Pelodiscus sinensis: one gene and its partners. The protein of the gene in region 2 purifies or fractionates together with the protein of the main gene of each other region. This does not show direct contact. Links are inferred from orthologs where the notes say so. Each region holds a gene or a part of one and is shown on either strand. Other genes may lie near its edges.

Region 1 (7,396 bases), on a different chromosome or scaffold from region 2:
TTCATCAAATCTGGCCCTCTTTGAAAAAAAGTTTGGGCACCCCTGCCTTAAGCAAATAACTTTTCAAGTTCAGTGGAATAAGCATTTGGGGATTTCCAAGAAAGGCATTGTATTACAAGAGAAAAGGACACAAACATTCCAGTTTCACGTTAGCAACACAGTAAAAGTCAGCCTGCCATATTCTATTTGATGTCTAGTTAATTCAGAAGATGTAGGAATCTCAATTGAGTATCCAACACTACTCTATTGATGATTTAACAAGCATTTGCACAGGGGACCATAAAATGCTCTGTCCTCACCCGAGGCTTATCTTAATATCTATGGATTGCTCAGTTTCATTACAGATGACAAGTAACATTTCCAATTAATTCTTTGCAGGAGAAAGGAATTTATGAAGCCACCCACCTCCACTGTCTGACAACAGGATCTAATTTCAATTCATGTTAAAATTCCACTTAAATATATTTCCAGTTTAAATACTGCCATTGTTGATTCTCTTGTAAAAGCTATTTCTCAATTAGTTGCAAGGAGGCACTCAAGTAGTTGATCTATGCAGAAGATTTGTTTAAATCTCTTATCCTCCAATTACTTGTTATTACTTCATTCAGAGCAATTACCATGGAACTCCTCTGCATGAAGAAACTGCATGGCAAACAACATCTCAAACTTCACAGGAAGAAACCAAATGTGAAGCTACTAATTAATTGGTTTACTTTTTAAGACCTCAAGAAGCTTAAAAGTTTTATATTAAACATAAAAATATTTTGTTGACTATTTTAGTTAGTGTGAAGATAAGAGTTCTAATTCTAACTCTGTCCACCTTAGATAAACATTTACTCTGCTTCAGATTCCTATTAGAATTGGTAGAAAAATAAAGCCATTTTCATGGAAAAGCTGAGATGTTCAAAACTGACCTTTTTAACTACAAACTTTTGGGGGGGGTGCAGAAAAACTCTGTTTTGGAAACTTGGGGGGTTTGTTTATATTTTAAAGCAAAATGGGCACAGTCATTCTTAAGCCACATATATAAAGCATTTTCAAAATAGGCTTTTTTTTAAACATCAGGCTTTGTTCAAAGAGGTAGCTAGCTCATTATGTATTTACAATATACTAATACTTAGAGATCAATCAAATTGCAGGCCTATTGTACTAGTCATTGTACAGACAGAGGAAACAGTCTCTGACCCCAAAAGCTTACAATCCAAGAGGCAAAATAAAACAGGTAAGAGAAATGTTCAAGCACAGTGGTAGAGGACAGGCGGAGAGGAAGAGTCTTGGGAAATAGACAATAAATGCACAGTTCTTAGGCAAGGCAAGGTTTGTAATTACATATCACTGCCCACCTAGAAATTTTCAGGCTGTGGTTTTCAGTATCTGCACAGGTATGTTTTGAGGAATGACAGAGGAAAATATAGTGACTTTACAAGTTTGGACAGGAAGGTTTGCTACTCCTCATGCACAAGGAGGAGATAGTACCACAAGAATTCAATTAAGCCTAGCATTAGTTAAGTAAAGATAGGGAACAAATTAGAAGGATTGTCAATGTACGTTTGTCTATGATGAGTTTGGAGAAGGAGAAGCCAATGAAGGGACTTAAGAATGGAATGGGGTGGGGAAGAAATGACAATCAAGCCTAGCTCCTTATCTTTGCTCCTGCATTAAATGCAGACAGTTTGCAAGCATCAAGGCCAGACAAGATTAGTGCAGTAGTCAAGTGATATAGGAGGATCCTGACAGCATGTGACCAGTAGTTCATAGAAGTAAATGACCAGCACTACTGACCTGAAACAGAAGTGTCCAGAGGGAATCACCAAGCAACTGTACAGATATTGCATAAGTCACTTAGGAAGAGAAATACATTTTGTTGTAGGTTCCTTACACTCTACCTCCACCCAGAACTGGTTCTGAAACTTTACTATAGTATGTATATTACTGGGGTTCTCGTGTAACACTCTACCTCCACCCAGAACTGGTTCTGAAACTCTACTATAATATGTATATTACTGGGGTTCTCGTGTAACACTCTACCTCCACCCAGAACTGGTTCTGAAACTTTACTATAATATGTATATTACTGGGGTTCTCGTGTATTTTTCTGCTTTTGCAAGGCAAAGGTAGACTACACAAGCTAGACATACTTAAAGTGAAAACCCATCCAGCGACACAGCAACACTCCTTTGCAAAGCAGAGTGAGTTTTCAGGCCCTGGGTACGTACCACTTGCTCTCGTTCTTCACTGCAGAGTCCAGAAAAGCCACTTCAGTGTCACAAGACAAGAGCAATGTGTCGGTTTTGGCATGAGGCCTACGTGACAATTAAGCGACTGCGCTAAGGGAAGCGCTGTGCTGGTCTGGCCGGCTACAGGCCTCCCGTTGCCCAGTCCAGCCACGCACCTTCCGCGCCCCACCGACGCCGCTGGGCAGAGCCCCCCCGCAGACGGCGGGGAGGACGCCACCGCGTGCCCCTCGGAGCGGGGGGCTACGGGCGGGCCGCAGGTCCCACATTCAGCCGCGCTGTGCACGGATGCGGAGCCCCCCCCATGAGGCGGGGCCCGCGAGGGGGACACGGCGCCCGCCCGCGTCTGGAAACTTTTCCGCGGCTCCTGTTACCTGCAGCGGCTCGAGCAACAATCGCTGAGGGGCCGGGCGGGAAACGCCCTTGGGGCCCTCCCGCGGGGGGGGGCTCACTGCGGGGCCCCTCCCCCCAGGCCGAACAAAGCCGGGGCGGGGGCTGAGGCGGCGGCTCCCCCCCCCGCTGTGAGGAGCGGGCCGCTTCGCGCCAGACCCGGGCGGCTCCAGGGGCCCCGCTGGCGGGGGGCGGGGGGGGAGTTCCCCACTCGGCCGGGAAGTTACCTGCGGGTCCCGGAGGCGCCGCTGGAGCCGGGGTCGGAGCCGCCTCAGCCGCTTTGTCTCTGCGCCGCGCCCGTCCCGGCCGGAGAGGAGGAAATGGGCCCTTCCGGGCACCTCCCCTTACGGCCCGGCCGGCTCTTCCGGGCACCTCCCCCGGCAGCTCGCCCGGCTCTTCCCGGGACCGCCCGCCCCGCGCAGGTGAGAGGCTGGGAGCTCGTCCCACGCGCGGCGGGCGGAGCGGCCGGGGTGGGAACAGCGCGCAGGGGGTGAGTCAGAGTTTCAGGTGAGAGGAAGGTGCCTGCGCGGCTGGCGCTGGGGCGGCCTGGGGGGCAGGGGCGTGGAGTGGTAGGGATGGAAATAAGGGGGCAGAGGGCGAGGGGGCAGGGAGTGGGGTGAGATGGGGGCAGAGAGGGATGATGGGGCAGAGGGCTGGGGGGCAGGGAGTGGAGTGAGATGGGGCAGATGGCTGGGGGGCAGGGAGTGGAGTGAGATGGGGCAGAGGGCTGGGGGGCAGAGAGGGATGATGGGGGCAGATGGCTGGGGGGCAGTGAGTGGGGTGAGATGGGGGGGCAGATGGCTGGGGGCAGACAGGGATGATGGGGCAGAGAACTGGGGGGGCAGGGAGTGGGGTGAGATGGGGGCAGATGGCTGGGGGGGCAGTGAGTGGGGTGAGATGGGGGGCAGTGGACCTGGCTCCATGGCACAGGAAGTTCAAGCTATTAATAGGGTCTTCCCTATGGGAATAAGGTGCATCCTGGTGGCTGCAGAGGGTGTGGCTAGAGGAGGCAGAATGAGACAGGACAGCTCCAAGAGTCAATGTTCAGGTCTAGATTTCAAGTCCCAAGGCAGTGAGGTTAGGCCAGGGGCTCTCATTGTGCATTACACAGTAAACTCTTTCTGACAACAAAAATGATGACATGTTCCCACGATGGTGAACCAAAGCCTGAGCTTTCCTGAACGGGGCGGGGAAAGGAGAAACCAAAGCCAAAGTCCTGCTGCTCCAGTGCGGGGTGGGGAGAGGTGAAGCCCAAGAGCTTCAGCCGCTCGCAGGGGGGCTGTAACCTGAGCCTTGCCATCCAGGGCTAAAGCCTTCAGTCTTCTCCTTTATCCCTGGGCCACAGCAAATCTAACATCAATCTTGGTGACCCCATTAAAATGGAGTTGCAGCCCATTTTGGGGTCCCAACCCACAGTCTGAGAACCACTGGGCTAGGCATTGGCTCTGGGATTTGGGTCAGCATTTCACAGACTGATGCCCAGTTATGAAGTTTGGATCAAATCTGGGTTCAGATTTCAGCCTCTCGTCTGGTGAAGGGGTTTAGATCTGGCATTTGACCTAGTCCAATGTCAGGCACCAGAGGAGAAATTCAAATCTGGACCTAATTCCGTAAGGGGGGGGTCCAAAATCTACCACCCCACTACTATAATGATGAGCAGTGCTTAGATAGATAAACCTATCCATAACACTTGCACTCCATATCTCCTCTGAACCAGAATCACTGGAGATTACTCAAACCTAACTACATTGGACTATTGAACAAACAGGTCATACTCTCTTTCACTCTTTAACTTCAGTGGGTGAAGAAAACTTAGGGCTCCATTTCACTTTCCTATCAAAGGCGTGTGTGATAGTATCATCTGTTTCACCTAAACCGCTGTTCCTGTTTTGGGTGCTGTGGTTTCACACCACACTTCCTAGAGTTTCACATATAAATAAAGCTAGCCTCAGTCAAAATCTGTCTTACTGTACTTGCTTTCATAAGAGCATTAGGCAAAAGGGTGCAACACTCACCTGTGATCTCAGTTCATGCGGTTTTGGGTTCAGGCCCAACGCTACTTCTGAGTGAAGTTTCCAGAAAACTTGGGTTGCTTTAAGATTTCACAGGGGCAAAGAGGGAAATGCCCTGGGCAGGACCTAGTGATGCAAAAAGGCCCAAAGATCTTGCTGCGGGTACTGCAGCAGCGGAGGCAGTGAGAGCCCCAAGTCCTTTAAATCGCTGCCAGAATGAGACGCAGTGCGCTCTGTCCGGCACTATGGCTGGGAGGGAGGCACAGTGCTTTCTGGGCAGTACTGAGGGCTCCCTTCTACTTGAGGCTCCACACCTGCCTTGCCCAGGTCCTGGCGAGGCTGTTGACCCTGCCAATTTCACATCTAATGCTTGGAAAATGTACCCTTTTGCTCAGTGCTGAGACCAAAGCAGGTGCAGTAAGGCTAGTTCTTTTAAAACCCAAGGGGGAGAGAATGTAAAACCACAGGAACCAAAACCAGGAGAGGTTTAGGTGAACTTTACATACATATAATGGCTTTAGAATGGTTCAGACCAACCTGGGGTCACATTGATGTTCTAAGATCACATTGGTATTCAAAATCCACATTGGAACTTTTGGATCTGGGCAATTCTCCAGTTCCATGTTTTTTGAACCTTAACATTGTTTGATAAACATGGGCAGAGTTCTGAAGTTGTCAAAGCTTGACAGCAGACATGATTTGTGTGTTTCAAGTTTCATAATAAAAGTTTGATGTGTCTTTACTTTTTATAGTCTCTAGAACAAAAGTGGAGGGTAGCAGGTGGTGGGTGTATGTACACACACACACTCACTCTCTAAAATTAAAAAACAAATGTTGCAAACTCTTCTATTCCACACAGGTTTCATTTTTTTTCCTTTATAAAATCTAAATGTTATATATTAATATTTTAGATGGTGTTGCTTTTTTTTAAAGTTGCTGTTTTCATGCAAATATCTTAAATAAGGCAAATACTTTAAAGCTGTGTCATAAAAGGGCTGTCAAAGCTGTGATAAAGCAAACAAGGAAGATTTGAGGAAATGATGCATATTATTTTAAATGTTTCGTTGAATCAGAGCAAGAACCTTCATCAGAAGAGAACAGACTTTTAAGAACTGACAAAGTTTAAACTAACTGAGGTAGGGTTGGCAAGTTTGTGTATGAGGAGGTTTTTTTCAAAGTCTCTCACAAAGCAGCAGTGTGAGAAATTGACCCTTTCTGTGTCATATTCAGTTGGGTTTTTATTGCTTTTCATAACACATTTTGAGATGGCTTTTTATATGAATGTTTCTATAGAAAATGATTGCATTGCAATAGTGACTGAATTAAAGTAATGTTTCATATCTCAAACATGTCAGTTACTGAGTCATCTGAATCCACGCGCTATTTCTGTTTTCTGGCCGATGTCAATCAAAAACCACAGCGAGTCTTGTCAAGGAGAATATAGCTGTGCCCTGTGTGATTTTTGCAGGGGGACACACAGCATTTCTCATCCTGATGTCCGCAGGAGCCATGCTGTGGGAACAGGAAGGATTTCAGAGCAGGCACCTATCCATGCTTTGCAAGGATGAAGGTTGAAATCCCCTTAGATCATGGCCCCCCTGATATTAACAAGTCCGTGGAAGAGATAATGCACCAGGCAGAGATTTCATATTTAATCCCTTCCCATAGGTTTAACCAAGAGCAGGGAGCAGTTAGCCCCAGGACAGAGAAAGGAGAATCGTACCCATCATCCCAAAGTCCTTAATGAAAATAGACTGCATGCAGCAAGGAAACCATCCTGTCAATTTGAGTTTTTCCACTGCAGGTCCTGAGTTCAGGACTGTAACCTTGGCTGAGAGACGATTTATTAAGATAGCACGAACTGTTCATTGACAGTCCTTTAAATAAATAGGCTCTTTAACAACAGATTTTTAAGGGCTTGGGGTATTCAGCTTGCACTAAACCATTAATATTTTCAGTGTCATTGGCAGCAGGGAATCCAATCAATTATTTTTGATCTGTAGCATATTCTCAATAAAATTCAGTCTATACTTCAATGGCTTGCTCTCTTTCATTAATTCTTTTAATATTATGTCTTGGCTTCCTGCGGTGGCTTCTGCATTCAGCACTTCCCACATGCTTTGGGGACAAAATGGTGGCTAGAAATCAGCACAACATTGCAGGCAATAATCCCTTTTAGACAACTAAGGATAGAAGATTAAGTGGCAATTCTGTTGGTTCGTGTACGTATCACAAGTTTAAATATACAGCTGTCAAAGCTAAAGATATAAAAATGAAGTCACCTCGGGGAGGAGACTGGAGTTTCTGTCCTGATTAACAGTTCTCCCTAGATTATAACAACAGGGATCTCTATCACTCTGAATAAAACAGAAGGTGTTGATCAAACAAAATGCCCATATCAACAGCAAGAACTCCTAAAAGAGAAGTCATCATTAAGAGTGAAGCAATGCTTGAAACTAGTCAAGTTAAAAAAAAAAAAAACTAGCTAAAAGTTGTCTTAAATGGTACATTTGCTGCAGAGTTCTCAATGCTAAGACTTGTGGTTTTGTAATCACATTTTTTTTTCTTTTCTCTTCTCTTTGCTATATGAAAGACACTATTACATAATAGAAGTAAAATGGGCAATACAAAATGAAGTCAAAAACAAAAAAAGCCTTTCATTCTCCAGCCTCTTTCAGGTGCAGACATTGTAGGTGCGATAGCAATAAGTAAAACTTTTCTAGACCAAAATGGATTTTTAACTTACATTATAGTAGATGT
Region 2 (7,169 bases):
CATCAGTGGAAAAGGCTGAATGCTCCTTCAGGTAGAAGAGATTTACAGTTGCAGACAACTGCCATGGGTCCTTAGTGACTAGTTCAGCATCTTTTATTGGCACAAAGTCTGAGTCCTCTGAGCCCTTCCATCTTCTAATTCTCCTCCACTCTGAATGGATCACATTACTCACTGAGGATTCCATGCACTGTCTACACATTCCCATCTACTTCTAGAAAGTTTTTCTGTTTAAACACAGAGGTCTACAGTTTTGAACTTGTCTGCTTAAAGTTTGGTACCTCAGTAAAAGCATACCAACCATATGCAATTTTGGATTGCATTAACAGAGGCAAATCATGCAAATCACAGAAGGTGATAGCATGGATGGTGGGTGAACAGCTGGCTTGGAGAGGCAAGCCCAGCCCCTTCCATGCCCGCTAGAGCCCACACAGCCCCCACTACAGCCACTGACCCTTGCCCCATGCTCCCCAAGTTCTCCATTGTGGCTGCTCGCTGGCTACCAAGGTGGGTGGCATGAAGTGCCAGGTTGCTGGGCATTGTAGCTGCTGGCCCTTTCTCTGTACTCCCAGCCTATCTGACCCCAAAGCTCCAGGTGTCCCAGTCTTCCCAACCCTGAGGCACCAGGCAGATGCACAGTGCCTACCTTCCAGGACCCAGAGCACTGGGTGGCCAGGTGGCCAGGCTGCCACACAGCCCCAGTCTTCCCAGCTCAGGGTAGCCATACACCCAGCCTTTCTGGCCCCAGAGCTATTAGCTGTGTAGCTGCCTGGCTGCATCAGCCTTCCCAGTGCCAGAGCACCAGGCAGACAGGAAGCATGGGCTACACTGTCAGACCCGACACCCAGGTGTCCCGCTTCCTTCTAGCCACCAGCCCCAGCACTGGGCAAAGAGCAGGTTGCAGCATTCAGGTAAGGAAGGGTCCTAACCTGGGGTGGAGCATGGGTGGAGTTACCTATGTCAGTTTGGGTAGGACATTCCTTCTCTTGCCTTCATTACCCACCTCTCATGGGTGATAGGATACATGAGATGCTAATGAGGCCTCAGCTGGAGTTTCCAGTGTTGGTCACAGCTGTCTGGAAAGGATGTAGAGAAACTGGAAAGTATCCAGAGGAGAGCAATAAAGCTGATCAAAGGGATGGAAGTGAGCAAAGACAGAAGGAGCTGGGTATGTTTAGTTTGGGAAAGAGGAGATTGGTGGGGACATGATAGCAGTGTTTCATATACTTGAAAGGCTGCCATAAAAAAAAAAAAAAAGATGAAGGAAAGTTGTTTGCTCTGGCCAAAGAGGGCAAGACAAGAGGCAATGGATTCAAACTTGAAGTAGGAATAAGAGCCTCCGGAAAAGGGCGCTTTTTCCGGAGGATCAGGGCCAGTGTAGACGCTCTTTTCCGGCTTTTAAAAAAGCCGGAAAAAAGCGGCGGACATTTTTATTTAAATGCCGCGGGGGATATTTAAATCCCCCGCGGATTTCCCTACGACGACTGGTGAAATTTACATGCCCCTTCCGGAAAAGGGGCCAGTGTAGACGTAGCCCAAGTGTTCAACACCCCTGAAAATCCACTTTAATTAGATGCCTCTGGAGTTTATTGCCCAGAAAGCACAACTGTGAGAAAGACTAAGTTCCTGAAAGTTTAGGAGATTGTCTGGTTTTGGTTAAGTATCCAAAGATAGTTTATCCTAAAATATCCAAGCTCAAATTACCTCATAATAATGTTTTAAATCCTATAGGGTTCCATAGAGATAAAATCTATAGAGTGAGAAAAGGGTCAGTGGAAATTTAATAAGGTTTTTAGACTCTAAATGCTAATAGAAAAATAGTGTTACTTGGTTTTGATTTTTCCCACTATCCTTCAGAATGCTGAGGCAGACAATTCTCCATTAATTTCTATAGGATCCGAAGGAAAATATTGGTTTGTAGTCCCTGCATACATATGGGAAGAAAGGGCAGCTAAAATAGCTTCTCTGAGATGTGGCCAAATTGTCACTATTGGACTCCTCCAATGCCCACTATAGGCAAAGGAAATATTCCCATTGACTTCTGTAGACTCTGAATAAAGGCTTTAAGTGAGACAGAAGTTGATTATGACTATATGGATTTGGCAAAACTTGGACTAGAAATTACCTGTAAAGACGACATTATTATGTTTTAAGCAACCATCCTTTGTTAAACAAAGATCATTCTGTCAATCCAAAAAATAGAGTTATTTGCAAATATAAACACTAGCTACAACTGTCATCTGCTCTGGGTACCAGAGTCTATTGCCTAAGCTGCATCATCTGCAGATGACTGTTTTCCAGTGAACTGCAGTTAACATCCTCCCCATCTCTCCTTCTCCTCTTCACTCAGCAGTGAAATAGAAACTGCTTATTTTCTTATGAGGAAACCTAATTATAATCAGTCTCCTTAAAGAAGACTTTGAAAAATATCCGCTCATTAGGTGCTTAACCTTCCTGAATAATTAATGTATCAAAATTTTAAAAGAGCTATTCATCTTTGCCACTGCATGTCATAAAAATGTGAAATAATGTAACCAAAGACCAGTCTTCTAGAAAACTGGAAAAATCAATCCCATTACCTTTGCTAAATTGTGATGAAGCATAGGGGCAAGCGAGTATTTCACTGCAGGATGTTATTATTTAAAGTCTTCTATAAAATATGTTGCACATTTGGCTACATTTATTATAACATACCTGTAAGACCTCAGACATTGGTCTCTTTTTAATCTCATGCTTCTCAGAGTTGCTCCTGAATTATTTAATAAAGTAATTCCTCTCTGGCTTGCAGGGTAAAAGAAATAGCGGGTCTACATTTTCTTCTTTGCATTTAGGGTAGGAGGAGAAATTAAAGTATATGTTGCTGTCCCAGAACAGAGCACAAATATTCTATGGACTTGTATCCACTACGCTGGGCATCGACACTACAGCAATTGATTTACTGGCTGTTAATTTATTGTGTCTGGTTAAATAAATTGATCTCCGAGTGCTCCCCAGTCGATGCCAATACTCCACCAGGATGAGAAGAGTAGTTGGTGTCAATGGCAGAGTAGCCCCTGCTGACCTTACTGCACACAAGACACTGTGGTAAGTATGTTGACTTTAGCTATGCTATTTGCATAGCTGAATTCACGTAGATTAGATCGACAGTGGGGGTTAGTGTAGACGAGGCCTATGTGAGCTCTATGAAGACCCATCTGCTTCTCACACTGAACTACCTTAACTTTCATGGGTGCAATGCCCATTAAACTCACTGTGGTCTAAACCTGGGAAACTCCCATTGGACTGCAACAGAAGAATAAATCAGGTCCACAAGCATAATTGCAACCACTCAACTTGGAATGTTTAACTTTCCCCCTTCCCTCTCCCTAAATATTCATCAGCTTTAAAAATTGCAATGCAACAATTTAATTCAAAAGTTTTCCCATTAGAGTTTTTTTCTTAAATTTTGAGGTCTCTTTAGTGCTTTGCAACTAAATCCGAACAGCAGCATTTCTGTGTCCTTCCTGTACAGGTGGAAATGAATATACAAAGTGCAAGGCAGAGGAGAATCATGCCCTAAATTGAAGACATGCAACCAAATTGTGCTCTCAAACATACCGGTGTGAACCACAGTTGCTTCAAATCTATACTGCTGTTGTCAAGAGCAGAATTTGACTCATGTTTATTTTCCAAAATTTCAGTATACACCAATCTACTAAATATTTTTTCATGCCACTAGCAAACTCATCAATTCTGCACCAAGGGAAGTAGTGGAAGTTTATGGGAACTCCCAACTGACTGATGAGCACTTCATTCATCATTGTTTCTGGTGTACAAATCCTGATGGCTTTGACTTACTAAAATATTGAAGAATCTTGTTCCATTTGAACACAAAACATTTGAAAATAAACCATACTAAGTATTCATTCTGGGATTGTTTTAAACTGTTTAGTACTAAACATATTAAGCACCAGCACTGGTTTGTATTTCTGGTAGAGTCCATTTCCCTTTATTCAGATACTTATTTGTTGTCCCTCTGAAAAGGTAAGCATAGTAATAATAAGCCTAAGTTTATCTGGTTTCCTCCACTCTTTTCTGTCATTGGCATTACTAAGGTTTGGAACAATAACAGGATGCTGGCATGCAGGATGGGAAAAGGCTGACTCCCAGCTGGGGAACCTTGGAGATTGGAAAGCTGAACACTCCCAGAATTGCTTAATGACAATGAAAACTGATTTTTTTGTTACTTGTTCTTCACTCTGAGTAGTGCTGTGTAGATTTCTGGATACTTTTGATTTAGTTTGTCTAACTTTGGATAAAAGTAAAGCTTCACCGCCTCTTGTGTAACAGGTAAGGGACAGTGGAGTACTCTTTCTCTTTTCAAGTAAATTTTAAGGGCTTTTATTGCTTTGATTTCTGTTTAAAGTTCTGAGATGGACTATTTACTTAATATTCTGTCATTAGATATCTTTGCAGCATCCTCTAAGGTGATCCTGCTGTAACTTGGGCATAATTCTATTGGCATCAGTGGAGATACTATTAGTTTACACTGGCATGAAATTAAAATCAGGTTCTCTGAGGCTACAGAAAAATACTCTCACACTGTAAGGAGTATTTAGACTTGAAGAAATATATCTTTTTTATACCTGTGGTTCATGATGCAAGCTGAGATACCAGGATATGCTGTCACTGGGCTTTTACAAGGAGACATAATAACAGAATCAATACTACAAAATGTATCTGGGGACCTTTCAGCTGCAGTGCAGACAGTAATAGGCTTACTAGTTTGTCATTGGAAAAAATGTATGCTATGTTATATCTGGCTTCCTTCAGACATAAATACATTGGCTCAAGGTTGCAGAGTTCCTTGGGTATTCTTACCTACTTAAAATTGTGAAAGGAATATTACTGCTATTGGAGCTAAGAACCAAAAAGTTAGAGCTCTCATGTTCAAAAGGCAACTCTATGCAGATTTCACATAGCTGGAACTACATATGTGTAAAGACAAGGCACTTTAAATCACTTATAAGTGATTTAAAGCTTCAAAAGGGACTCAGGCAAATAGGAATATAAGTCCCCATTGACTTTCAATGAGATTTTGGGGCCTAAGTTCCTGGGCAACTTTTAAAAATGGGACTCAGGTGCTTCTGAAAATGTTACCCTTGATGTTCTAAGTTCCATTTAATTATACCTAATCCCTACAATCATCTGTTGGTCTGGAAGTAGAAGCTTCTGGCTCTCAGCTCTCCAAACTTACTAGTTTTTTGGTAAGTTACTTTATGGAGAGGGCCTTGAAACAGGAAAACCGCTGACAGAGCTTTTATGTTGTTATAACTATAATGTTTATAGTTATAGTAGCAGGTCCCTCAGTTGTATTTTTCCATGCAACTTGCAAAGACACAAATGTTTATGAATAAGAGTGGAATCAATGCATCTTTGTGTCTGTTGGAATTATAGTCAGGGAGGACTATACCTCACCGTGCTGCATGCCATGCTACAGGAAAGAATGTGAAATTCAAGAAAAAAAAATGTGGAATAGGCTGCTTTTGTGAATAGTTCTCCGATCTTAAATATTAAATATTAAAATTGTGATTTTTCTATAGGGCTAGATGCAGGGCTCAGTACTGAACATGCTTAAGCAGAAGGTGTTTCACAAACAGTTAACGGTTATGAAGGTATTTGTCAAAATAATATGTTTGCCTCATATCCTGCTTTTGTTGAAGTAGAATAGAGTAATTAAAAACAGGATATATGTGAAGGGACTTGTATAATTTCTGCCTTGGAAGCTCATATGATTGTAGCTTTTGCTGAGCTTGGCTATATAAACATAAAATAATATTTAAAAGAAAACAAATCTTCCTTTTCCAGTGAAAAATAGAAAAAATAAACTATTTCTTGTCTGCAAGATGGGGTTTAAAATCAAGCAAATAGTGGTGGTTGGGTTTTCAAAAAGGATTAGTCTAAAGTTTTACCATTTATACATCATTTTTGTTTCTAATGTAAGTGTATCCACATTCCAGATCACTTTGGAGCTTAATTTAGATAGATTCAAACTCTAATGACAAGTGGGGAAAAATGTCTTTCATGAGATGTGTGAACTGGAAATATTTTGTGTTGGAGGAAAGCATTTTAAAAAGGTGCACAAAGTACTTTTCACTCTTCATTCCAGTATGTTTAAAATGAGAGGAGCCCCAATTGCTGAGCACATATGTTGGTAGAATTAATTTCCTTTTTGCACTGTTATGTGTCAGTCATTATTTGTGCAAACTAGAGATGTGCCCAAGAAATAGGGGGAGGAGGGAGATTTGCAAGGCACAAAAAGCGGACGGGCACCCAAGACACACTGACTTTCATTGGAAGCTGGATGCTTACCTCCTATTTACGCCTTTGAAAATCCTTCCAAGAATTTGGATTTAGATCTGGATTCCAAACAGACCTTGACTTCACTCAGATGCAGGGATACAAGTGTGGCCTACTACAAAGATAGCAGCTGTTTGCTTACCTCAATTCTGGATTTAGATTTGAAATGACGACAACGTTTTGGAGCGATCAAGTCTGGGAGAACTGGTTTAGTGTCATATTTACTACCAACATCAAAACACAAGGACCCACCATAATGACGGTCACAAGTCATGGTGATCTGAAGCCACCATTTCACCTTATGTGAGCAGTTTTATAGTTCTGAGATCCATTCTCAAAAATACTACTGGGAAACGTACTTCCAGAATTCTTGGTATTGTAGTGGAAACACGGAAAGGAACAATGCCATGGTTAAGGCTGCATACAACTAAAATATTTCAGTTATCAGGGGGTTTCCATTAACATTTTCTTTTGTTTCTGAATTTCACAACCCACTCATATCCCAATTTCTGCTTTGAGTTTGGGGTTTGTTCAAATCCCCAAACTCAAATCCCATAAAAAACTGCTAAGTTTTCCATTAAAGGCTACAGCTTCAAGGCAAAAACATAAATTGGCCCATTCACTGACCTTATGTTTACTCAACCAGATTGTGAGCTTTAAATATACCTTATAGCAAGCTTGTTCAAATTTGTAACAAAGCATGAAACCAGGCAAATTGAGGGATGTATGGGTTTTTTTAACACATTTTTCAGAGCCCTGTGACATACTTTCAAGAATATGTTACTATCTTCTGGAGCTTATTTTATTGCATGAAATATCAATATGGCAGGCAG
Region 3 (7,203 bases), on a different chromosome or scaffold from region 2:
GGAGTGAATAGATGCATTGCTAACTGACAAAGAGTGCTGCCAATGAACACAGGAAAAAAAATATCCTGCTGCACCCAGCACCCCTGAGAGCAGACTGCTGGGGGATTTTCCTTAACTGGAGACATTTCAATGTCACTTACTGAGCCAGAGAGAAAAGGGGATTCGTTTCTTAAAGAAAAGGCTGCTACATTACCAGGACTCTTTGGGGGAGGGAGAGGGGGGCCTGGGCTGGGGGCAGGGGTATTGATGGACTCCACCCAGCAGTTTTGACCCTCCCTAGAGTCACAGTTCCTTCCCTGCAAGAACAAAGGAGGAGGAAAATTAGATAACAGTTTTAAGATTTCATCTGCCCAAGGTAGATCTAGTCTGTGCGCGCGCACACGCACACTCCACAGGAGAAAATCTTAGAAAAGCATCACTGAAAAGATTTACAGCACATAACCCTGGGGCCAGAATTATCCCTCCTCCCAAGGAAAGGCCTGCACGCCCAAAATACTCTCTGCTTCCAAAACATATATAAGCAACTTCCCTTACTCTAAACACAAATGAAATTATGATGCAGGAAAAGAGAGCAGGATACTAGTTGCAACACCGGCCACCCCTTACTCCAATATTAAATACCTGTCTAAAGAGAGAGACATTCTCTATCCTGCTCCATGTGCCAACTAGAAGATTGGCACAGAAAGGTCACTTGTTTTGTTGGGGTGTGGAAAGAGGCTGAGGGGTCAAGGTTACACGGTTCACTCAAAGCCCAGATACTTCAAAGGTATACTTCAGGACTTAGACTTCAGGACTTAGACCTCAGTACGTGTATCAGCAGCACAAGACTGATCATAGGAAAAGGGTTTTGCAATTAGCTTTGGGTGTGGGAAGTACTTCTTTCACAGTAATAGCACCACTCAAGGCCACCCAGAGACAAGTCATTCCTAATCTACTTGTAGAAGTGTTTTTGTGTTCTTTCCCCAGCTGTCAGAGCACTTCCTCTGGGCTCCCTGGCTGTGAAAGGCTACTAAAGCCAATCATACAAATGGTTCAAACCAGCTACCCTCTTTCACAAACCCTTTATATCCAGATATGGAAGGAGTGGGGGGAAGAATAATATGTGGGGTACTAAATAGAACACCAGCCATCACTGAAACCCACAGACCCTTTCCAAACCATCCTCTAACCATTCAAAATAGAACACCCTCTTTTCTTTCTCTACTGCATCCAAGACCAAACCTCAGGTGGAGGCTGGGGGGGGAGGGAACACCATACAGGTACTTAGATATAGAATATGGATCTGTACATTTCCAGAAACTAGACTGCTTACTGTTTCTCTCACCACAAAAGTTTCCCCAGATCTCTGGCCACAATAATCTTAAGTCTAACATAAGACATCAGAAGGTCTTCACAGCAAAGTGAGAGAAAGAGAAGAGAAAGTATGTTTTTAACATATTTAGTAGACAGTGCAGACTTCCTATAATAATTGTAAACAGCAGCACAGACTGTTTCTCTGCCCCAGTTTGTTGCAATTAAATACTACACTAATTCCAGGCTTTTTGTATTTGAATGGAGGCATTAATTCTACAGATGACAACTCAGGACTAGAAACTAGCTGCATGTCCTAGTTCCCAATGAGCTGGCTACAGAAGTACATTTTTAGCAGTATCTAAAAGCCTCAAACCTCCACACACTTCCAAGAGACTGAACGCAAGAGCTCAAGGAAAGTTACAGAGAAACAATTATTTAAAAAAAAATACAATCTGTTAGACTGAGTTCCTAAAGTAACTGCTTCAAAATAAGTTTGCTTAAAGCCTCTCTTAAAGTTTGCCTTCTTCCCCATTACGTGTTAAAATAAGCCACGGCTTAGGTGGAGAGTGCTGACCAGGTTTTGATTGCAAGTCTTAGCCTCTGCTAAGTGTGGCAGTCATTCCACACCCATTTCAAGTTGTTGATTATAATTTAGAACCCGTGAAAAATATCCTTTCCCCCTCTCCCCCCGCTCAAGCCTTTTTTAACTCCACCTAAAGATTAAGAGGTTATAACTCAACATGGATTCTCTTTAGAAGGCTAAGAGGAGAAAGGCCCGCACCCAACTGCACCTGGGGGAAAAAATGGGATCCACCCAAGCAGAAAGTGTGGATTTTAGACATGGAAAGAATGGACCGCAACACTCCCAACAAGAACACCACTTAATAAAAAACACTTGATCAACTCCACAACCTTCCTACTGCAGCTCAGTTTTCCCAAAGTTTTAAAGAAAACATATTAAAGGGTGCAAATAAAACCAAGAGCCCACTTCGCAAACTGGATCACATTCCTCCCCCAGCCTGCTCAGAAGACACCACAAAAAACAACAGCTCCCCAGCAATTCAACCCAGGCAGAGTTGTTAGCTTGCAGTACAAAAGGAGCAAAAATCCAAAGTGAACAACAGGCGTTAAAACAAGAGATGAGATTTTTTTTTTAAAGCAACAAAAAAAACCAACATGATTCTTACCCTGGCTTTCTCCCTTCTCAGGGGCTGCGCTGGCGAAATCCAGGAGTTTGTTTCTCCACCTTGTGAGGTTTTTTTTTTTTTTTTTTTTTTTTTGAGTACCAGGGGGGGAAGAAATAAAAGCAAAATAAATTTTAAAAGTTGTCAGTGCGGCTGTTCCTCTGCCTTATAACTTCCCTTCTAATCTCTCAGGGTGACAATATGCCAGTCTCCAACAAAAATTCCCCTTGGGCGAGAGCTTTTTTTTGGGGAGGGGGGGTCGCTTTGCAAACACACAAAACTCTATGGTGGACTTCTCCAACAAATCTCTAAAGGAAACGCAAGAAGCAAAACCCGGCCAAAATGTGTTTTAAAAAAAGAAAACCAATAAATGTAGTGATTTTTTCTCCACCTCTTTCTCTTCTGGGATCCTTCCTGGCTTTTCCCCCCTCGCCTCCTCTTTCAGATCCAACACCTAAAATGGAAGTTGCACCCGACCCAGCCAAAGACAAGCTGACGGGGGTGATGGTAACAAACTGAGCTTTCCAAGCCCAACGCCCAACCCCTCTTTCCCTAAGTGATGTCAGCGTCTACGAAGCTCCAATGGGAAGCAGGCATCAATAAGGGACCCGGCATTATCCAATAGGAAACTTTATTGTAGGGAATAGAAAAAAGAAAAGAAAAAGGGAGCAAAACCAACAAAAGGAGGAGGGCAGAAAATAACTTTTGGGGGTGGGGGAGGAAAGAAAATAAAAATATATTACAAAAATCAGTTGCAAGGAAGGAGGTTAAAACAGGCTTGGCATGATGATAAATGTGTTGATATGATCTGCAATACACAGTCCAGTCTCTTTTTATCGTTTGTGTTTCTTTCTCCCACTCATCTCCTCTGCCTGTTTGCAAATGAGAATAAATAACTTCATTTTTATATATCGCCTGTGCTATTTATGTGTAAATATATTTTCATCTTTGTAAGTATCACCTGAAAAGGAGGGAAAACAATGGTACAAAAAGATGGGTGGGAAGGTGTTTGGATCTGGGGAGAACTGAGGATTTAAAATTCAACCTTGAGTCTATTGTTTTTGTTTTAATTATGTGAGCCTAGATTGTGTGAGCCTAGATTGTGTGATCAGCTCTTGTTTGGCTTTTGCTGGTGGCAATTAAGAAACTGAATTTAAAAATCTAGAGTGGATAAGGAATTTACTTCACTCCTTTTCCTTTCATATCAGTGAAGAAAATAGCTATTTTACTTTGCATTACTAATTTAATCCAATTCACAGTTTATAGATTCCAGACCATCAATTAAGAGAGAGACAGAGACAAAAGTTCTAACAAGTTTTCTTTCATCATAGCCCTAAAAGTTGTTTATTCTGATTATATTTGCAAATAAGTGTCAAACTGGAAGGTACATAGTGCAATGTGGTGCACCAGATTAAGCGGGGGATTTGCTGGCAGGGGGGCATTACCTAGATATTTCTATAAAGTTTTTTGAAGAGTACAGGATCTTTTGAAAAAGGGTTTTATTTTCAAAAGATCCCTGTTTAAACACTTGTTTTTCTTTCAAAAAGCCCATTTAAAAAAAAAAATGTGGCCGCCATTATGCAAATGAAGCGTGGGAAATTTAAATCCTGGCTTCATTTGCAATTTCGAAGTGTCTAACTTACATCCCTTTTTCGAGAAAAGGGATGTAATCTAGACACAGCTTCAGGGTGCAGTACAAGGAATGGAAGGGGAGAAAGAGGGTCAGGTTTCAGGAGTAACTATTAGTTTGGTGTGACAGCAGGTGCAATACTAGACCGAGCTGCTACCAAACACAAGCCCTTTAACACTCGTTGTTGGCCTCTGTCTATGTTCAACAAAGATCTCTTCACTACAGCTCTGTCAGCCTGCTGCATCATATATCGCTTATGAAACATAGGCACATCAGTGTAGACTGGCCATCTGCTACTTTTTCTCCCCTGTTCTGTGCTTAGAGCGGGTCTAAAAGACACAGTGGTGAAATCAGTGATGAACTTGGCCTACATTAGAACATTCGCCCTGCCTTGTACTGAGAGCTCAGCAGATCCTTCCTCCCAGAATCCAACAGGACCAAGAGAGGTTGCCAGTACCAAGCACAATAGCGAAGTAGACAATATGCCACTTAAATCAACAGATGATGCAAAGGGGTCTGGTATTATTTCCATTGACTTCAAGCGGAGTAGGACTAGGCACTTAAGGGAGAGTGTTGTACACAGCTTTTAAAAATCTCAGAGGGGTAGCCATGTTAGTCTGTAAGGCTACGTCTACACTGCAATGCTATTTCGGGATACTGAAGTATCCTGAAATAGCTATCTCGCGTCTTCTCAGCAAGCCTATGCGGGCTCGCTATTTCGACGTTACTGTAAACCTCATTCTATGAGGCATAAAGGACATTTCGGAATAGCACTTTAATTTGAAATTTGGCACCAAATGACGAAATAAGCTATTTTGAAATAGCATCAAAATGAGATACGCAATTTGCATAGCCGAAATTGCGTATCTTATTTCGAGTTACAGTGCTGTGTAGGTGCACCCTAACTGAAAAAACTTTAAAAACAACGAATGGTCCTGCAGCGCTTTAGAGACTATCTACATTTTTTGTTAGTCTCTAAGGCTGCGTCTAGACTGGCATGATTTTGCGCAAATACTTTTAACGGAAAAAATTTTCCGTTAAAAGTATTTGTGCAAGAGAGCGTCTATACTGGCATGTGCCTTTGCGCAAAAGATTTGCTTTTGTGCAAAAGCATTCGTGCCAGTGTAGATGCTCTCTTGCGCAAGAAAGCTCCAATGGCCATTTCAGCAATCGGGCTTTCTTGCACAAGAAATTAACGTGGCTGTCTACACTGGCCCTCTTGCGCAAGAATACTTGCGCAAGAGGGCTTATCTCTGAGCAGGAGTGTCGGAGTATTTGCGCAAGAACTGTTGATTTTGTACATTACAAAGTCAGTGTTCTTGCGCAAATACTCGTGGCCAATGTAGACAGGTGGCAAGATTTTGTGCAAAAGCATTTGCTTTTGCGCAAAATCATGCCAATCTAGATGCATCCTAAGGGTTACTGCAGGATATTTCGTTGTTTTTTAAGTACACAGCATTGAGTGTAGAGAAATAATTCAAAGGGATCTAGAGAGTCAAGAGATGGGGTAGGAAATAACAACACGTTAGCTTTGAAAACTACAGCTAGTCCAGCTGAAGACACCTGTTTCCAAAGTCTAACACTTTGTGTGGGGGAGAAACCAAGGAAGCATTACTGCTTTCAGAGACTTAGGACTGGCAGCTACTGCTTAAAGTAGACAGGAGCTGGAAGCAAAAGAAACTGGAGTGATTGGAGGCTGAGCACTTCACCACACAAAACGGGAAGGTGACAGCTTTAACTGTGGGTCTGAGTGGAACCACATCTGGAATATTGGAACTAATTCTTGGATCCACAGCACAAAGGGGCTGTAATGCTGGATTAAATAGCTGCCTAGGAATTTCCCAAGTCCAGGGGGAAACCCAAGTGATGTAGAGTCTACATGGCTCAATTCACACCCTACCCCTACTCCCAGCTGGCCTCAGAATCTAGAAACCATAAAGATGACATAAACCCTCTTTGCTGCCCCCCGCCCCTACTCAGGTGAACGTGTTCAGTTCTGAGTACCATGTCACCAGAAAGTTATTGACAAGACAGAGGGAGATGAGGAATGAACAGCAGATTGATTTATGGGGAAAGATTAAAAGAGGTAAATATGTGTATAGCTTGGTCAAGCAAGGAGTACATGATAACAATAACAGCCTGCAAATATTTGAAGAGAGTAATCCCCAGTGAGGGAGAGAAAGAGGCTGGTACACAAGGGAGACAGCAAAGAGGAATGGGATGATATTTTAAAAAGGAAGCAGTTAGGACAATTATCTGGAAAAACCTCCCTACTGTGAGGTTTGATCTGCTGCAGATTCACAATGGGCACGTCTACACTGTGGCACTATTTCAGGATACTTCCAGTATCCTGAAATAGCTATTTTGCGTCTTGACAGCACGCCCATTATTTCAAAATTGCTTTTGAAATAATATTTTCAAATAGCTCACTATTCTGACATCCCTGTAAACCTCGTTCCATGAGGATTAAGAGACATTTTGGAATAGCGGTTTATTTCTAAATTTGACGTGAAGACAGTGTCAAATTACAAAATAAGCTATTTCAAAATACACTCGAAAAAAGCTACGCAATTTGTGGAACTCAAATTGCATAGCTTATTATGAGCACAAGTGCAGTGTAGACATACCCAAAGGTATTTAGGCACCTAACTTTCATGAGGATCTGTGCCTTCAAGCCTGTGAATTCCTCCCCATCCCACTAAAGAGGAGAGTTAAGAACATCCTTGTCCTCCTCCTTTTCTTCCAGCACTGAATCAAAGGGCCAACAAGAGGGACTGCAGCAGGAGCATGCAGGAAACAGCACTTCAGGGACTGCTCTAGTTCAGCTCTCCTATGCAGTGCTATCCACCCTGTCCATCTTCCTTGGCAGGAGGCTCCTTCACTTCACTTCCAATTTCTTATGCGGGGAGAAAGAGATAATAAATTATTCTCCCCCTCCAACCTGAATTATGGGTCCTACTCAAGGGCAGAGAGACCTTGCACCTCCAATTTACTCTAAATCCCTTGATGAGGGGGGTGAGAGTAAGTGTTCCTAGCCGCCGCCACCACTCCCCTCCCATGTCTCTAGAAGATGGAGATAGATGTGCCTTCATTTTC
Region 4 (6,892 bases), on a different chromosome or scaffold from region 2:
AGATAAGAGCAGAAATAAGGGTGACAATATGCAATCCTCTCCCATCATAGCTTTGTGACCTCCTTTTGGATTGGGACCCCCCCGTTTGAGAAATGCTGTCTGAAGGGCTTTACATGTTTATGCTTTGTGACAACCCGATGAAATCTAAAAATTTAAGTATCTGATGCTGTGGATTTCACAAATGCTATGACTGCGAAACTGACCAAAATAGACAGTCTCTGTTCATCTGAGGAAGCGGGTTTTGCCCACGAAAGCAAGCTCATGCTTTTTATTTTGTTAGTCTAAGGTGCTACAGGACTACTTGTTTTCAAAATGGACAGTGAATTTGGTAGGAGACATCACCTGCTTGCTGTATTTTTTTCTTCCAGTGAAGAAACACCACCTCCCAGAACTATTTCATCAACATGGCTACATCTCTGCTGGGGCGTGGTTTTTTCCAAGTCCCATCCCACATCCATATGCCAATATAGTTTTCAAGTAGAGGCCAAGCTTACATTGCAAATCACAACTGTTTGTCAGGCAATTGGCAATCTAGATACAAGGCAAGTCTCTAGGGCTACTGCTGGGGACTCCTATCAGGCAATTTCCCTACAAAGAGTCTACACTTAGCTTGTAACAGCATCTTCCTTCCAACCAGGGCCAGATTAAGACCCTTAGAGGCCCTAAACACTGAAAAGATTATGATGCCCTCCCCATATGTAATTCAAAATAAAAAGTATCAGAGGGGGAGCTGTGTTAGTCTGAATCTGCAAAAGCGGCCACAGGACTCCTCGCCACTTTTTCAAAATAAAAACAATACTATACCGTAAAAATCTCTTTTTTTTGGTGCCCCTAAGCACGGGCTTAGTCTGCCTACTGGGTAATCCAGCCCTGCTTCCAACCATTGCAAAGTGCTGGGAGCCCGATGTGTGATCGTGCTTTGCAAGAACATACACTTCAGTCAGTCACCGCATGCAAGCTAAGAAAGCAGGTCGGGAGCATTTTATAATACATGGACAGGAGACCTCAGAAAACTAATATGTCAAACGCGCAAATACACCCTGAAAGCTGATTGTATGTTGATTCACTGCACAATCAATTACACAGAGGAAGGATTTCTTAAATGCCTGTGGCTCATGCCTCAGTAAGAGATTGCCATCTTAAGCTCGCATGGCGAGAGCCGAGCCAGAATGACACCCTTCCTATCACAACAGTTACAGAAACAGCAATGGCACTCTCCTGGAAAACCCAGTCAAGGAGACAATTTGCAAACTTGCTCCCCAGGAATCCAGCAAGAGAACAGGAAACGCCCATTGTGAGCTTTAAAAAAGGAACCATTTCAAGGACCAGCTGAAATAGATTTGCAGCACGCACCCCTCAGCAGTTTTTGTAATTTGTCATCCAGGAGTCCATCAAGTTGCACTGCCTGAATGAAAAGACAGCTAATTAGGTTTGAAAACGCAAGACGCCTCCAGTTTACACCACTTCCCTTTCGGTTTTAATGCACAGTCCAGCTTTCTGGAGCAGTTGCAGGATGCAAACAACAGGCTCCTGTCTCATTCTCCAGATTCCAGCAGGATCCAATTTCTCTTGCGCGAAACAGCGTCTCACGAGAGAGGTTCAGCAGCCACCCCGCAAGCCTTCTGCTCCAACAGAGACTCCAGGCACTTGCAAATTAGACGGCTAATTTAATACCGATCTCTGGAACTATGTAACAGGCTGCCTACAAGTGGTTTGCCGTCAGCCATTAACTGCTTTGATTAATAGCGACCTCAGCGTGTGTTCAGTGCAGGGTGATGAGGTTACTGGTGACACTCCTGTTTTGGCAAGGCAGGGTTCCCTAGAAGGGCCACACGGAGGGGGGGGGGGAGGGACACGACACAGCACCTGGCTGGCGCGGACAACGCGGGACACAAACATGTGCGAGTCTGAACCGCCCCCAATTTCCCACCGGCACGAACTTTACCGGGCGCCTGGACGCGTCCTGGCTTCGCTTGCGCCAGATTCCCCCAAACCAGCACAGCCCCCCAGCAGCACTTCGCTAATCCCACCGCAAGCGGCCGGGCTTTCCAAGCTCGCCGAGACCGCCCCCTCCCCAAGTTCGCCCGGACCCCCCCCTCCCCGAAGTTCGCCGGGACGCCGCCTGCCCCCAAGCTCGCCAGAACCCCGCTGCGCCCCAGCCCGGAGCCCCTCAAGCTCGCCAACACCCCGCTGAGCCCCGCCCCAGCCCGGAGCTCCCGAGGAGCCAGAGAAGGCCCCACCCGGCCCGGACAGCTCGGTTCCCAGGGCCAGGGCGTTGGCTCGGAGCAGCCGGCGGCCCGCGGAGCGGACACGCACCAGCTCCTAGCCGGGCAGACGCGAGCCCGGGTGAAGCGCCGCCTCAGTGCCCCCCCTTAACACACGCACACGTTCAGCCCTCCCTTTGCACACGCGCGCACACTCAGCCGCCCCGCTTTGCACACTCACCCACCCCCTTTGCACACGAGAGCACAGCTCTCCCCCTTTGCACACGAGAGCACTCAGCTCTCCCCCTTTGCACACGAGAGCACTCAGCTCTCCCCCTTTGCACACGCACACGCGCACACTCAGCTCTCCCCTTTGCACACGCGCACACTCAGCTCTCCCCCTTTGCACACGCGAGCAGACTCAGCCGCCCCCATTGCACACGCACACGCGCACACAGCTCTCCCCCTTTGCACACGCACACGCGCACACTCAGCTCTCCCCCTTGCACACGCGCACACTCAGCTCTCCCCCTTGCACACGCGAGCAGACTCAGCCGCCCCGATTGCACACTCAGGCCCCCCCTTTGCACACGCACGCACACTCAGCTCTCCCCCTTTGCGCGCGCACGCACTCTCGGGGGAGCCCGCGGGCCGACCCTCACCTGCGCTGCGCCGCACCGCTCTGCCCCGACACTGGCGGCTGCCCGGCTCGCACCCACCAAACAAAAGGCGAGCGCAGCCCGCAACCCAGCCCCGCCCCCGCGGTCCCCAAGGACACAGGCCCCGCCCGCTCGTGGCCGCCCATTCATTGGCCCGCTCGCCCTTCAGTCACGCCGTCGCGGGCGGGGGCTGCGCCGCCACCTGGCGCGATGGAGCGCCTCCCGATTGGCCGCCCACAAAGCGCAGGGCGGACGGGCCCGCGGGCCGGAAGCGGATTGGCGCTTGGTCGGGGAGCTGGGACGCGATTGGACGACGGGGGTGGCGGTCACGGCGGGGAAGGGCCAGTGGGCGGGGGAGGGCGTGTCCCTAGGCCAGGTGGGACGGGAGACGCTCACCTGGATGAGGTCATGCAGGTGGGGGCGGGGCTTCGGGCTAGGAGGGAGGAGCCTGCGAAAGGACAGGGAGCTGGGGGAGGGGAAAGGGCGAGCCTGGGCGAGAGCTGCGGGGCAAGGGGAGTCTGGGGGGTAGGGGCAAACCTGGGGGGTGAGTTTGGGGCAGGGGAAAGTCTGGGGGAATAGGGGGGCAGAGGGAGAATTGGGGACAGATGGGGGTGGGGGTGAGGGAGCCTGGCAGGGGAAAATCAGGGCTGGAAGCTGATCAGCCCTCTAAGAGCTCTTTGCCGCACATTCCTGTGCACCTTCATGCAGCTCCCCCCCCCCCCCCAAAGCAGTCCTATTCCCCACTAAATAAATTTAATGGAGATTGCCTATCTCTTAGAACTGGAAGGGACCTTGAAAGGCCATCAAGTCCAGTCCCCTGCCTTCACAGCAGGACCAAAGACCATCTATGACAATTTTTACCCCAAAGTCCTAAATGGGCTTTTTGAGGATTGAACTCACAATCCTGGATTTAGCAGGGCAATGCTCAAACCACTGAGCTACCACCTTGTCCCCCATTACCCCTGTTCCTGTCCCTCCTCCCCCAAAGATACTCCCCCGACACATCCAACAGCCCCATTTACCTTCACCTAACAGCAGTGCCACTCTCAGCAAAGGGCCCCTCCCATAGCACCCCACTCTCCAGTGAGGCCCTGTTCTTAGGAGCCATGTTGGTCACGTGCCTCTGAGCACTGCGGGATGGTGATGGAGAGACACAGGCTGTGCCTAAGTTCGGACCTGGAGAAGGCGCTTGCCGTGGACAGCAGCAATGGCTACCTCTGGGGTGGCTGTGCATGGTTAAACTGTTTGAGCGCAGGGGGCCATACCATGTTCAGCAACCTCATGCTCAAACCCCTCCTTTGGAGCCAGTTCAGTGCAGCCTTCTTTATTCAGCAACAACTTGGTGCGCTAGCTCCAGCCACGCTGCACAGTTTTCTGGGTTCTCTTCTCTTCATCTAGCACTGGCTTCCCTTCTGGACCAACACAATTCCCCAATGGTATGCAAGAGCCTTCTCCTTTGCCTCTCTCGCTGTCAGCCGCACGCTCCTGGTGTCATTCCATTTCTCGCCTAACTTCCTGCAAAAATATTTGTTTCTCCCTTGTGTTCCCTGTAGCGCAGCACAAACCCAGACAGGAACAACTGTGCAACCAGTCCGGAGGAGGCGAAATTGAAACAGTCACTTTTCTACTCCAGAGTCCCAGGGACGGCAAAAACGCTGATCAGAAATGATAAAAGACTTCCCATTAAAAAGCAATGAGGAGAGCATGTGCCTGGCCTACAGGGAAAGGAGCGAGCTGGTAGGAAGAGTATCTCACAGTTTAACACCCTGCCACCAGCTCACAGGTGACGCTGACAAATGGCCAGAAAAATAAACCCCAGCAGCCTCATACGCCTTTACTACGAACAGATGCTTGCTACAGCTGCCAAGGACTTGTACCTGAGGCATCTGCCTCAATTGCTCTCCGATAACCCTGCGTCTGGCTTGAAACATTCATAAAGAATCTTGAATTTGAAATATTTTGGGACTTGGGTTCTTTGTCTCTCGGAAAGGTTTGCAGAGATACAGTGTGTCTTGAAAGCCTCTGTAGCCAAAATAGTGGTGACAGGTGTCATATTAAGCACTGCCGAGAGGGAAGAAGGTGGCATAATGACACATTTTTTTATTATTACAACAAAATAGCAGCACATTAATCAGATATCTCTGGCTGGGGGTTAAGAATAGAAGGTAGAGTTCTTTGAAGGGGTCAACAAATGTGGAAAAGGGGGTTCCAGTAGATATAGTGTGCTTAGATTTCCAGAAAGCCTTTGACAAGGTCCCTCACCAAAGGCTCTTACGTAAATTATGTTGTCATTGGAATAACAGGGAAGATCCTTTCAAGGACTGAGAACTGGTTAAAAGACAGGAAACAAAGGGTAGGAATAAATGGTACATTTTCAGAATGGAAAGGGGTAACTAGTGGTGTTCCCCAAGGGTCAGTCCTAGGACCAATCCTATCCAACTTATTCATAAATGATCTGGAGAAAGGGGTAAACAGTGAGGTGGCAAAGTTTGCAGACGATACTAAACTGCTCAAGGTAATTAAGACCAAAGCAGACTGTGAAGAGCTTCAAAAAGATCTCACCAAACTAAGTGATTGGGCAACAAAATGGCAAATTAAATTTAATGTGGCTAAATGTAAAGTAATGCACTTTGGAAAAAATAACCCCAACTATACATATAATACGATGGGAGCTAATTTAGCTACAACTAATCAGGAAAGAGATCTTGGCGTCATCGTGCATAGGTCTCTGAAGATGTCCATGCAGCGTGCAGTGGCAGTCAAAAAAGCAAACAGGATGTTAGGAATCATTAAAAAAGGGATAGAGAATAAGACGGATAATATCTTATTGCCCTTATATACATCCATGGTATGCCCACATCTTGAATACTGCATACATATGTGGTCTCCTCATCTCAAAAAAGATATACTGGCATTAGAAAAGGTTCAGAGAAGGGCAACTAAAATGAGTAGGGGTTTGGAATGGGTCCCATATGAGAAGAGATTAAAGAGATTAGGACTTTTCAGCTTGGAAAAGAGGAGACTAAGGGGGATATGATCGAGGTCTATAAAATCATGAGTGGTGTGGAGAAAGTGAATAAGGAAAAGTTATTTACTTGTTCTCGTAATACAAGAACTAGGGTCCACCAAATGAAACTAATAGGCAGCAGGTTTAAAACAAATAAAAGGAAGTTCTTCTTCACACAGTGCATAGTCCATCTGTGGAACTCCTTGCCTGAGGAGGCTGTGAAGGCTAGGACTCTAACAGGGTTTAAAAGAGAACTAGATAAATTCATGGAGGTTAAGTCCATTAATGGCTATTAGCCAGTATGGGTAAGGAATGGTGTCCCTAGCTGCTGTTTGTCACAGGGTGAAGATGGATGGCAGGAGAGAGATGGCTTGATCAGTACCTGTTCAGTTCACTCCCTCTGGGGCACCTGGCATTGGCCACTGTTGGCAGACCGGACACTGGGATGGATGTACCTTTGGTCTGGCCCAGTCTGACCATTCTTATGTTCTAAGTCTAGTTTTACTCCTTACTATGCCTTTGACTGGTTCAGGAGTCTCTTTAGCCTCTGATTTTGGAGTCTTCAGTTCTCAGGTGCTCTGATTTTCGGAAGAGCACAGCTCCAATGAACTTCACTAGAGTCACGATCGCTTGGCACCTTGGAAAAGCAGGCGCAGTTGTCACTAACTGGACACCCGAGATCACTAGTCACTTTGGACCTGCTCACCAGGACAGCTTCTTCTTCAGGCGAGAGTGCCCACCTGACACACCCCTCCCAGGGGAAAGGGCAGGATTTGTTCATTTACGGCCGGAATGTGCTTGGAGAGCCTCAGCATTGTTAGAAACACAAAGTATTTTTGTCATGTCTTGATTATTATTGGCACTTAGGCCAATGTCCCAATTAATCCATCTTTTGAGAGCTTCAGGTGAAAGATGCCAGAATAGAGAAAACGCGATTACAGAGTTACTCATTGCTTGCCAGTCCTGGAAATGAATATACACACATTATATATAACTAGTTAGAGATTTGGCTAATGGGACCG

The links.
Region 1: the proteins of CDH5 (region 2) and CTNNA1 purify together in Homo sapiens (affinity purification with western blotting; 4 studies listed by BioGRID and IntAct, counting the BioPlex papers as one, with this or other methods). This does not show direct contact. The link is inferred for Pelodiscus sinensis from reciprocal best matches to the Homo sapiens genes CDH5 and CTNNA1.
Region 3: the proteins of CDH5 (region 2) and CTNND1 purify together in Homo sapiens (affinity purification with western blotting; 3 studies listed by BioGRID and IntAct, counting the BioPlex papers as one, with this or other methods). This does not show direct contact. The link is inferred for Pelodiscus sinensis from reciprocal best matches to the Homo sapiens genes CDH5 and CTNND1.
Region 4: the proteins of CDH5 (region 2) and JUP purify together in Homo sapiens (affinity purification with western blotting; 3 studies listed by BioGRID and IntAct, with this or other methods). This does not show direct contact. The link is inferred for Pelodiscus sinensis from reciprocal best matches to the Homo sapiens genes CDH5 and JUP.

Annotation. Positions count from the first base shown.
Region 1 is NC_134727.1:3,751,261-3,758,656, forward strand, and holds the start of CTNNA1 (catenin alpha-1), read right to left. Parts: upstream 3,011-7,396; 5' UTR 2,852-3,010; intron 2,631-2,851; exon of another isoform or gene 2,609-2,630; intron 2,487-2,608; exon of another isoform or gene 2,217-2,486; intron 1-2,216. UniProt on the Homo sapiens protein: Associates with the cytoplasmic domain of a variety of cadherins. The association of catenins to cadherins produces a complex which is linked to the actin filament network, and which seems to be of primary importance for cadherins cell-adhesion properties.
Region 2 is NC_134722.1:19,395,631-19,402,799, forward strand, and holds the start of CDH5 (cadherin-5), read left to right. Parts: upstream 1-4,147; 5' UTR 4,148-4,326; intron 4,327-7,169. UniProt on the Homo sapiens protein: Cadherins are calcium-dependent cell adhesion proteins. They preferentially interact with themselves in a homophilic manner in connecting cells; cadherins may thus contribute to the sorting of heterogeneous cell types.
Region 3 is NC_134714.1:128,674,637-128,681,839, reverse strand, and holds the start of CTNND1 (catenin delta-1), read right to left. Parts: upstream 3,015-7,203; 5' UTR 2,869-3,014; intron 2,540-2,868; 5' UTR 2,481-2,539; intron 1-2,480. UniProt on the Homo sapiens protein: Key regulator of cell-cell adhesion that associates with and regulates the cell adhesion properties of both C-, E- and N-cadherins, being critical for their surface stability.
Region 4 is NC_134739.1:9,927,974-9,934,865, reverse strand, and holds the start of JUP (junction plakoglobin), read right to left. Parts: upstream 3,023-6,892; 5' UTR 3,010-3,022; coding exon 2,867-3,009; intron 1-2,866. UniProt on the Homo sapiens protein: Common junctional plaque protein. The membrane-associated plaques are architectural elements in an important strategic position to influence the arrangement and function of both the cytoskeleton and the cells within the tissue.